Linked DNA regions of Caenorhabditis elegans. The protein of the gene in region 1 interacts with the protein of each later gene in a biochemical or structural test. Each region holds a gene or a part of one and is shown on either strand. Other genes may lie near its edges. The genes, in order: rhi-1 and cdc-42.

What was found.
Region 2: of the proteins of rhi-1 (region 1) and cdc-42, one has a biochemical effect on the other in vitro, tested with the Caenorhabditis elegans proteins (one study listed by BioGRID).

The regions. Positions count from the first base shown.
Region 1 is NC_003284.9:4,506,698-4,511,635, forward strand, and holds rhi-1 (putative rho GDP-dissociation inhibitor), read left to right. Parts: upstream 1-1,811; 5' UTR 1,812-1,818; coding exon 1,819-1,914; intron 1,915-3,525; coding exon 3,526-3,779; intron 3,780-3,830; coding exon 3,831-4,056; 3' UTR 4,057-4,248; downstream 4,249-4,938. UniProt on the Caenorhabditis elegans protein: Regulates the GDP/GTP exchange reaction of the Rho proteins by inhibiting the dissociation of GDP from them, and the subsequent binding of GTP to them.
Region 2 is NC_003280.10:7,614,359-7,618,812, reverse strand, and holds cdc-42 (Cell division control protein 42 homolog), read right to left. Parts: upstream 2,362-4,454; 5' UTR 2,357-2,361; coding exon 2,234-2,356; intron 2,181-2,233; coding exon 2,016-2,180; intron 1,966-2,015; coding exon 1,768-1,965; intron 1,423-1,767; coding exon 1,333-1,422; 3' UTR 568-1,332; downstream 1-567. Other genes in the region: R07G3.8 (CYRIA/CYRIB Rac1 binding domain-containing protein), read left to right, coding at 204-299; Immunoglobulin domain-containing protein oig-4, read right to left, coding at 4,401-4,454.

The DNA.
Region 1 (4,938 bases):
TTAAACATTGCATTTTCTTAATTGAAAAGTTACTGGCAAATATATGTTCCTAATAACATTAGAGATCTTCAAATATTTGTTTCCCATTAGTAACCACCTCAATTTTATTTCCGAGGTGTGGAAATAACTTGTTTAGGTGTGGAACTGAATTGTTTTAAAGTTTTAATTTTCGAAAATATAATTATTTTGTGCCACACTATATCTGTGTTAAAATTCACAACACTTCCAATTTTACGTTTTTGAATTAGTCCAATTCTTAGGCTTTTTGATTTTCTCTCTCTCTCTCTCTCTTTCCCAGCCAAAAACTAACCGCGTTCAAATACTTTAAACAAACGAGAACTGTATTTTCTCGCACTGCTTTTGCTTCACTTGCTCCTCGCAATCAGTGCACAGCGGTGCCCTAGAATGCCCGATTTTGACATTTTTACCTTCTCGTCCTCCTCCACCACCATCATCGCCCACCATCAGCGATTTCCTTGCGCCACTCCCTCGACGATTCGGTTTTCCACAAACATTTTTCCACGCACACACACACACACACAAGTTTATGTGTGTGTGTGAGTGTGAGTGTGTTTCATTTGTGTCACTCACTCTACTTTTTTCTCTCTCATTTCACTATCCACCCATACTCGAACTGTATTTATTTGTCTGTTGTTTGTGACTCTCTCTCTTAGTGGGCGAGAAGATTCCTAATACTTGACATGATATGCGTTATTTCTTTAACTCGCTCTTCAATCTATCAATTGTTCATTTAAAGTTTGAAATTTATCATTCTGTTTAATTTCTAATGTTTTCGATTACTCAGCAGCACGACTTCCTTTCTTGTTCTTGGGCAAGCAACATGATGAGTCATTTGTTAAATTCCCAGAGTAACGAATCAATTGATAAGGGAAGACTATTTTGCTTGACGTTGCATTTGTTCTACTTCTCATCACTTGAATTTTTGGCTCCTCCAGTATGTCATATGTTTCTACAATGACTGATTTAAGGCAACTTGTTTTTTTGTTTTCTTTCGTCAATTTTCGACAATACGCATATGCTTAAAGGGTCAAAAAGGTCAGTCAAAAAGTGGCATAAGTTTTTGCCACTTTCTGAAAAATAGAACTGTTCAAATCAGAAACGACATTCAAAAAATTGGTGAGAACTGAGTTTTCACTGGTTTTTGATTCGAAATAAAAAAAATTTCCAAATTATTTTGAATAGTTTTATTTTAATTTTTTAGTGATTTTAGCATCATTTTAGTATTTTTCCCATATATCCAGAAATTGGATTTTTCCATCTTGTACATGGAAACAAATGATATAGGCGACGCCAGCAAAAAAAAAAAAAGAAATCGCATCAGAAGAAAGCTTCACAAATCTGTTTTACCAACAATTTGTCTTGAAGAAGAAGAGAAAAAGTAGGCGGAGACGAAAAACCACACAGGAGTAGAAAAAGACGGTGGGATAGATAACAAATTGACATTGTTCAACCATTTCGCCCTCCTCTCCGTGTGTTTGTCTAATTCTTCTTGTCTCGAACGAGGTTGTTCGGTTTGATTATGAAATTTCTTTTCCGGTATTTTTCCAGTTGCCCATTTGCCCCATTATTTTTTTTGGACGTTTTCTCTTTTTGTCGCAAGATTTTGGTTTCGACCGTTCGAGTCTTTGCCCTCAGAATCGTTTTTGTCGTAGGCACTCATTTTTGGCCGCATTTTTATTCGCATTTCTTTAAGTCGTTCATAATTGCAATTCTTCGATTCTTGGGTTTTCGAATATTCTGGTTCTTTCCCTTCTTCTTTTTTCTGACAGCGCTTACCCCCCATTTTTCAGCGGAATTATGTCTGACCACGAGAACACTGGTGAAAACACCTCCGAATATCAGTACAAGCAACCACCACAAAAGAGCATCGACGAGCTTCTCAATGCTGACAAGGTTTGTTAAATTTATTTTTAACAAAAAAAATTGAACATTTTGCGAAATTGCTAATGGATGTGGATTGATGAATCTGATCACAAGACAGCTTTGGCCTTCGATCTATTAATAAAAAGTAGTTAATTGAAACAAAGAAAGCCGAGCCAAGCTACGTTCAAAACACAAAATCCTTGCATTCAGGCTACAGTGTTCTGCGAGTTTTAGGTTTGATAATTGTAAAATAGAATCAAAAGGTAGTGCAACGGGCGGCAATTCACCCCGGCAAACTCGTTTTGGTATGACAATCTAATATTTTTAAGTAAATGCTGAAATATAGAAAATATTTTATTTCTTTGAAAATGAAATTTACTTTTGTAGAAAAACTTAACAAGATGTTGAAAACTACCTGAAACTTGTTATTAGTAGAAAGAACTGCCGTTAAAATGTTATCGGCACAACACTAATATCACCTCTTTCTGATTGTTGTGTCAAAGTTTTCTTTTGAGAATGTATATAGAAATATGTGTATTTTCCAAAAACAACGATAGCTTTGATAAGTTTCTCAAAAACTGTCTCATAATCTGTATATTCCTCCTTGAGATAGTTTTTGAACACTTTCCCAAAACTTTTCATACAAAGGAGAGTTATTTTTGGAAAATGCATATATTCGTTACTAGGGGTGGCAAGAGTGCGACCTAGGTCGCTAGGTCGCTGTTTTCATTTAGGTCGCATCGCGACCTAGGTCGCATTGCGACCTGCGACCTAGCGACCTGGGTCGCATTGCGACTTGCGACCTAGCGACCTAGGTCGCATTGCGACCTGCGACCTAGCGACCTAGGTCGCTTTACGACCTGCGACCTAGCGACCTGGGTCGCATCGCGACCTGGGTCGCATCGCGACCTGCGACCTAGCGACCTAGGTCGCTTTGCGACCTGAAGTACTGACATTTTTTATACTAACAAATTGCTACAAATCATTTATTTTACATTGTTTTCGATTTCTTATCCATAAGACACCTTGTCGAAAAAAGTTAGAACAGCCGACATCCGCCGGATTTTCTGCTTTTTTCTACGTTTTTAATTCGAAAAGTGGAAAATGAAATTTTAGAAACAACAAAAACCACAAAAACGTGAACTTTTTGAAACAATTTGCTGAAATGCATGGTTTTATTTGTAGAAATGAATTCTTTGTTCCGTACTTTTGAAAAAAAACTACGCATAAACTTATAAAATCTTAATAGAGAAAATGTTAGTGGAATACACATATTCTGCAATCTTTAGTTTTCGAGTTATACGGATTTTAACAACTCAAGTGAATCAAAACCGAAAGAGAACAAAATGTCGGTAATTCAGGTCGCAATGCGACCTAGGTCGCTAGGTCGCAGGTCGCAATGCGACCTAGGTCGCGATGCGACCTAACCCTCTAGGTCGCAGGTCGACCTAGGTCGACCTATAGCCACCCCTATTTGTTACATTTCTATACAAATTTCCGAGCGAAAAACTTCAACATAACAATGAGAAAAAGGGCATTTTGTGAATTTTCCTAATGTGCCACAATTTTGGTCTCTATTAACCCTAATAAACTTTTATAAAAATCCAATGACAATCACATTTTAGTATGAAATTTTTACAGGAGGACGAGTCTCTAAAAGTGTACAAAGCCAAACTTCTCGGCCAAGGAACAGTCATTGTCGACGAGAAGAACCCACTCCGCGTGATTGTCCGATCCGTCGAGCTGCTCATTAATGGTAAAACTGCGCAATCATTTGACTTATCGGATCCAGCAAAACTTGTCAACTCTGACTTGTCTGTTTCCATCAAAGAAGGTTCCAATTACCGGTTAAGCTTTGCTTTCCATGTGCAACGCGAAATTACGTCCGGATTGCAGTTAGTTTTTTTGTGTGTTTAATCTTAACTTAAAATAATAAATTGTTTCAGCTACAAACATAAGGTGAAACGATCCGGTATCACTGTGGAGAATGAGAAGTACATGATGGGAAGCTACGCGCCAAAACTTGAGATTCAGGAGTACAAATCACCAAACGAAGAAGCTCCGTCTGGAATGATGCATCGTGGAAAGTACAAGGTGTACTCGAAAATTACCGACGATGACAACAATGTGTATCTTGACTGGCAATGGACCCTTCACATTACCAAGGAGTAGAATAATTTTCCGCCTTTACTGAACCTCATATTTATATTCAAATTCTCAATGAAAATGACTTTTTTCTCCAATTTACCGCCCACCCCAAATGTTTTCCTTGTTTTATGGTTATTATTGATTTTGATGCACTAGTTGTGTTGTGTGATGCCTCTCCCCTTTCCCCGCCAAATTGAAATGATATATAAAGTGATATTTCATAATCATTTAAAACAAAGTGTACTGTTTTGTGAAACGTTGGAAACTAACCAAAAAACACTAACTTGCTGCGTTTCCAAAAACTTAAGATCCTAATACGCATTTACACGTTGTTCCGCAATATTCACGTGGTTTCAGCTGGGCCGGAACATTGTATTAATTTCAGAATTAGAGATTTTATTTTGATACAATAAGAATTGAACTACAAAACGTTACAACTTTGAAAATTTAAAAGAGTACTAACGGTTTGGAAGTTTTGAACGTATAAACCCAAAATGTGTTAAAATAAATTAATTTCGTAATAAAAAGTCAAAAAAATTTGAATAGACTTTTCTCACAAAAATCCAAACTTAAAAAAAAATTTACCAGAAACTTTGTAGCAAATTTTCAGATCTTTTTACTGAATACCTAAGTATTTTTGGTACTCGTGTGTTACCTAAAATTACTCTGTAGTTCTAACTTTCAAAATTACTATGTAGTTCTAACTTTTAAAGTTACTTTAAGATTAGTAAATTGAATTCGTGCAAAATGTTTGAAAATTGATTTTCAAGACATTAAATGATGATCACCATTACAAAAATCTTTGCAAAAACTTACTGCCGTAAATTAAAAAGAATTTATCGAATCACACCACTACGTGTGGGTGTAGTCTGAAGAAATTCATGCTTTCTTGCTCCATTAGGAAAT
Region 2 (4,454 bases), on another chromosome or scaffold:
AGAATAGCGGAAAGCATTTAAAGCAGACGAAAAATGTTTGAACATGTTCGAATTTCTAGTTTTCTGCGAATACCTAACGAGACCCAACAGTTTGTCCGTAAAGCGCGATTGCAAACGCGCTTTCAAAATGAGCATTTTTCTGCGCTTCCATAATAAAAATTAGAATAAAATTGAGCAACCCATATTAATTGTTTTATTTTCAGTCTGATTGTCTACTTGCTGGTCTTCGTTTCACAACAAAACATTATAATGATTCAAGTACTCCAAAATCTCTTCGTCATTTGATTGAAGTGAAATAATTTCATTTTTTGTCAATTTGTTCATTAATTCTAGTCATCCTTGCCTCTATTTTATGTTCTCTTATCGTTTCTAGTTGAAGCCCATTTCCTCATACACGGTGATTATGTTCCTCTCCTCGTCAAACAGTACTTTTTGTCAGTGATAATAATTATTTTTCGTTCCAATTCACCCACTCATTAATTATTTTTCTCAATGCCTTATGGTTCCGGTTCTTCTTTTTCTACAACACCCACTTGTATACTTTTCAAGATCTTTTATAAACATCTTAATTTTTTATATCACACCTTTATTGTTTTGGATCGCAAATATATAACAACAATATGTAGAAAAATTAAAATACAGAGTTGTTCTGGAGAAAGGAGGAGGGAGACACAAAACGTAGTGGATGAGAAAACAGTTTAAAATGGGAAATGGATGTGTGAAGGCAGAAAAGCACAAAAAAAAGGAAAGAAGAAAAACAAACTGGTCGGTATTTTTGAGCAGCAAATGAAGAAACAAGCGACTCGGGATGTAGTTGGTTGTGCTATACAACACCTATTATATAATTATAAAAAGAACCATGGGAAAGGAGAAGGCGCATTACGTAACGGTGTATCCGGACTATAAACACGTTTTGGGATAAAAAAGAAAATAAAAACGACGACGAAAATGTTAAAGAGGAGGTGTCATTGAAAAGAATGATAGTTAATTTGGATGAACTTTTAAAAATTTTCGAGGGGATTATTCGATAAAAATTCGAAAACAGATGAGAAACTATAAACTGCCCTGCTTATCGAAATTCTATACGAAACAATTAAAAAATTCTGGAATCATGCTCATCGAGATTCTACTGGATAAGTTACAGGAGACGAATTGAAGAAAATCATCTTCTATGATGCTGTCAAAAATAACAGCAACCGCTTCTCGTTTGGCATTTTTCAGGGAAATTTAGAAGTATGAGAAGAGTGGAAGTCGGGGGCTAAGAAAATTTGGACATAGAAAGAAAAACACAGTCACAAAACAGAGGAAAACATGGAGACAAGGAAGACGTTCCTAGAGAATATTGCACTTCTTCTTCTTCTCCTGTTGTGGTGGGTCGAGAGCGGCCAGAATGGCTTCGTCGAATACATTTTTCAGTCCCTTCTGAAAATAAACTATTTAAACTTCAATATACAAGCGTTTTTAATCAACATAATATGAAAACTATGGTATTTTCAGCCGGAATATAGAGCATTTCAGGAGATAATTTTTTGCACAATAAAAACAGAATTCTGGTTGTTCGTTTTTCCCGAAAACATGACCGTTGCTAAATATAAAGCAACAATTTAACTGAAAAGTGATATTTATATTTTAAAGTGTCACGTATTTCCACAAGAGCCTCGTTTTAATATTTAAAAATTTATTATTTGATTAGGTTTCGTGGATTGGATGATATTTTATTTTAATGTTTCAATATTATCAATGACTATTTTGGAAAGAATGACTCACCTGCGTCAACGCTGAGCATTCAACGTATTTCACTGCTTTCAATTCCTTTGCCAACTTCTCTCCAACATCCGTTGACACTGGTTTCTGCTTGTTTTTTGCCAGTTTCTCGAGCATTCCTGGATCATCCCTGAGATCGACTTGAGTACCAACTAACAAGAATGGGGTCTTTGAGCAATGATGCGAAATTTCAGGCACCCACTAAAACAATTTCAGATATATAGAATAAATTCGAGAACAATATTTCTTACTTTTTCTCGGACATTCTCGAATGAAGCTGGAGCAACCACGGAGAAGCAAACAAGAAACACGTCGGTCTGTGGATACGATAGAGGCCTTAATCGATCGTAATCTTCCTGTCCAGCAGTATCAAACAATCCTAATGTGTATGGCTCGCCACCGATCATTACTGTGACCTGAAATTCGGAAATTATTTTTATATAAAATAATTTTTTTTTCTTAAACTTACGGCGTAATTGTCGAAGACTGTCGGCACATACTCAGAAGGAAACTTGTTTGTGGTATAGCTGATCAGGAGACAAGTTTTACCGACAGCTCCATCTCCAACGACGACGCACTTGATCGTCTGCATTTCGCCTGAAAAAAAAAATGAATAAAAGTATTAAAATTACGTCTTTATAGTGAAAAATACGGATGAGTCACATAAATGTGCACGCACACGTTTTAAAAGGAGAGATAACTAGAGAATGAAAACGAATTGCGAAACATCAGGCAGAAAATCAATAGTCTCTTTCGAAATGCCACGAGCGTTTCTTTACCATTGGGAGCAATAATTATCGAAGAAAGAGCAAGAAAAAAAAACGGTAAACGCCTTAATAAACGATGAAGAAATAAGGCAAAATGGCCAAAACAACTTGTGCGTATAATTCTTTAGATGAGGAATTTTGGCAATGATTCATCGGTAACTGGTCGGAAGTTTGAATCGGTTTTCCGTACCAAACAACTTGCATATATTTGAAACTAGTTATATTTAAGAAAAGGTACAAAAATAGGAATAATTCGACATGAAACACTGGAACATCTCAGTCAGGATTATGTTAGGGGAATTTGGAAGCAATGTTCAATAAAATGTCACGAAAATGATTTCAATAATTGTTAAACAGTCAGACAAACTTAAGCGGACCATTTTTTAAATAATTTAAAACATGATTGCTCCTTTCGAGAAAATTTATCAAATTAAAAACTGATAGGATACTTCGATCGTCTACCTACGTTTATTGATTAATTCTGCTCTTATAAATGAATAATCAATAATTAGAAAAAACAATAAAAGCCTGTAAAACAACGAAAAGCGTGAATGAGCTTTGTTGAACACGGCGAAAAAAGGAAAAAAAGAAGATGGTGGACAGTTTGTCGGCGAGCCTAAAGACGACCGCGACGCGGCCGCTCGCACTCATAGACTACGCTAGTGGTGAGATACGCAGAGAAAAAGACGAGAGAGTATTGAGAGAATGGAGACATCACTACATCTAACATAGGGTCGCCAGTCGTCACCGAATTATTGGATTCAAATTTAGGTCCCGTAACTCGTGAAAACTTATTAGATCGGTCAGTTATCTAGATAGAGTACTTGATTAGACAAATGATATCCCAGACTGGTCAGTTTCAGTCTAGAAATGACGCTGTAAACTTCGTAAAACCACCAAATAGGATTTCTAAAGTCATCATCTAGAATTTAAACTATATCTCACTTTGTTACGCTGTGAGGATATTATACATACATATTTTGTATGTAAGCTTAGTCTATAACTAGCGTAACCCGTTCCATGCTAACAGACGGGCGGCCATTTTAGTTTTTTATTTTTCCTGTGCGAACGATTGCCAGCCAGAAACTTCTTTCTTTTTTCTTGTTTCTCCTAGTGCAGAATATTTGTCCTCAATTTATAAATACCATCTCTAGAATATTAACTTCGATTGAATCCGTTGTGTTTTCCATTTTTTCTCAATTGTATTTCGTAAAATTAATTTTAAAATTGCCTTCTTTTTAATTTTAAGGTTTTATATTTCAATATGCTATTTCGTATTTTTTGTCTTACATTTCTAGATAGAATTCTAACAATGCTCCGATTGAATCTCACTCGCGAAATTTCTATTTCTCTTCTTTCACTTCAATCCAATCGACGATTCAATCTGCCCTAAATTTTTAGAATTGCATATTTTCTCTTGATAACTTCATTGTAAACCGTGTGAATTCCATGAAATTACATGTTCGTAATACTTTTCCCAATTAAAAGAAGAAAAATTTGGAGTTTCGATAACCGACGGCGCGTACTTCTCTTCTTCCTTATTGTTCGATCAATAGTCCCCCAATCCGGTTCCCTGCCGCGTCTCCTCCCTTTTCCGCGCGAGATGTGCCTGCTTTTCGTTCATGAATTTCGTTTACAACGTCATCAGCTCTTTTTCTGTATTCATTCTGAACACATTCCCGCCTTCACTCGAATTTACCGCCACCGCACACCTGTTCATCCCGCTTCTCTCACTCCCAAACACTGTTTGTTTTGTCGCTCGTGCGCCTGCACGCAACAGAAGGAGGAGGTTTCAAACGCATTCCTTCGCAAGTTTATATGATATAGATTAGGTGAGAGAAAATTATTTGATTTGTGAAAAATCTTTATTCAATACGTATATTCTGCTTTAAAATTCTTTGCCATTACTCCGTGCGGGTTATT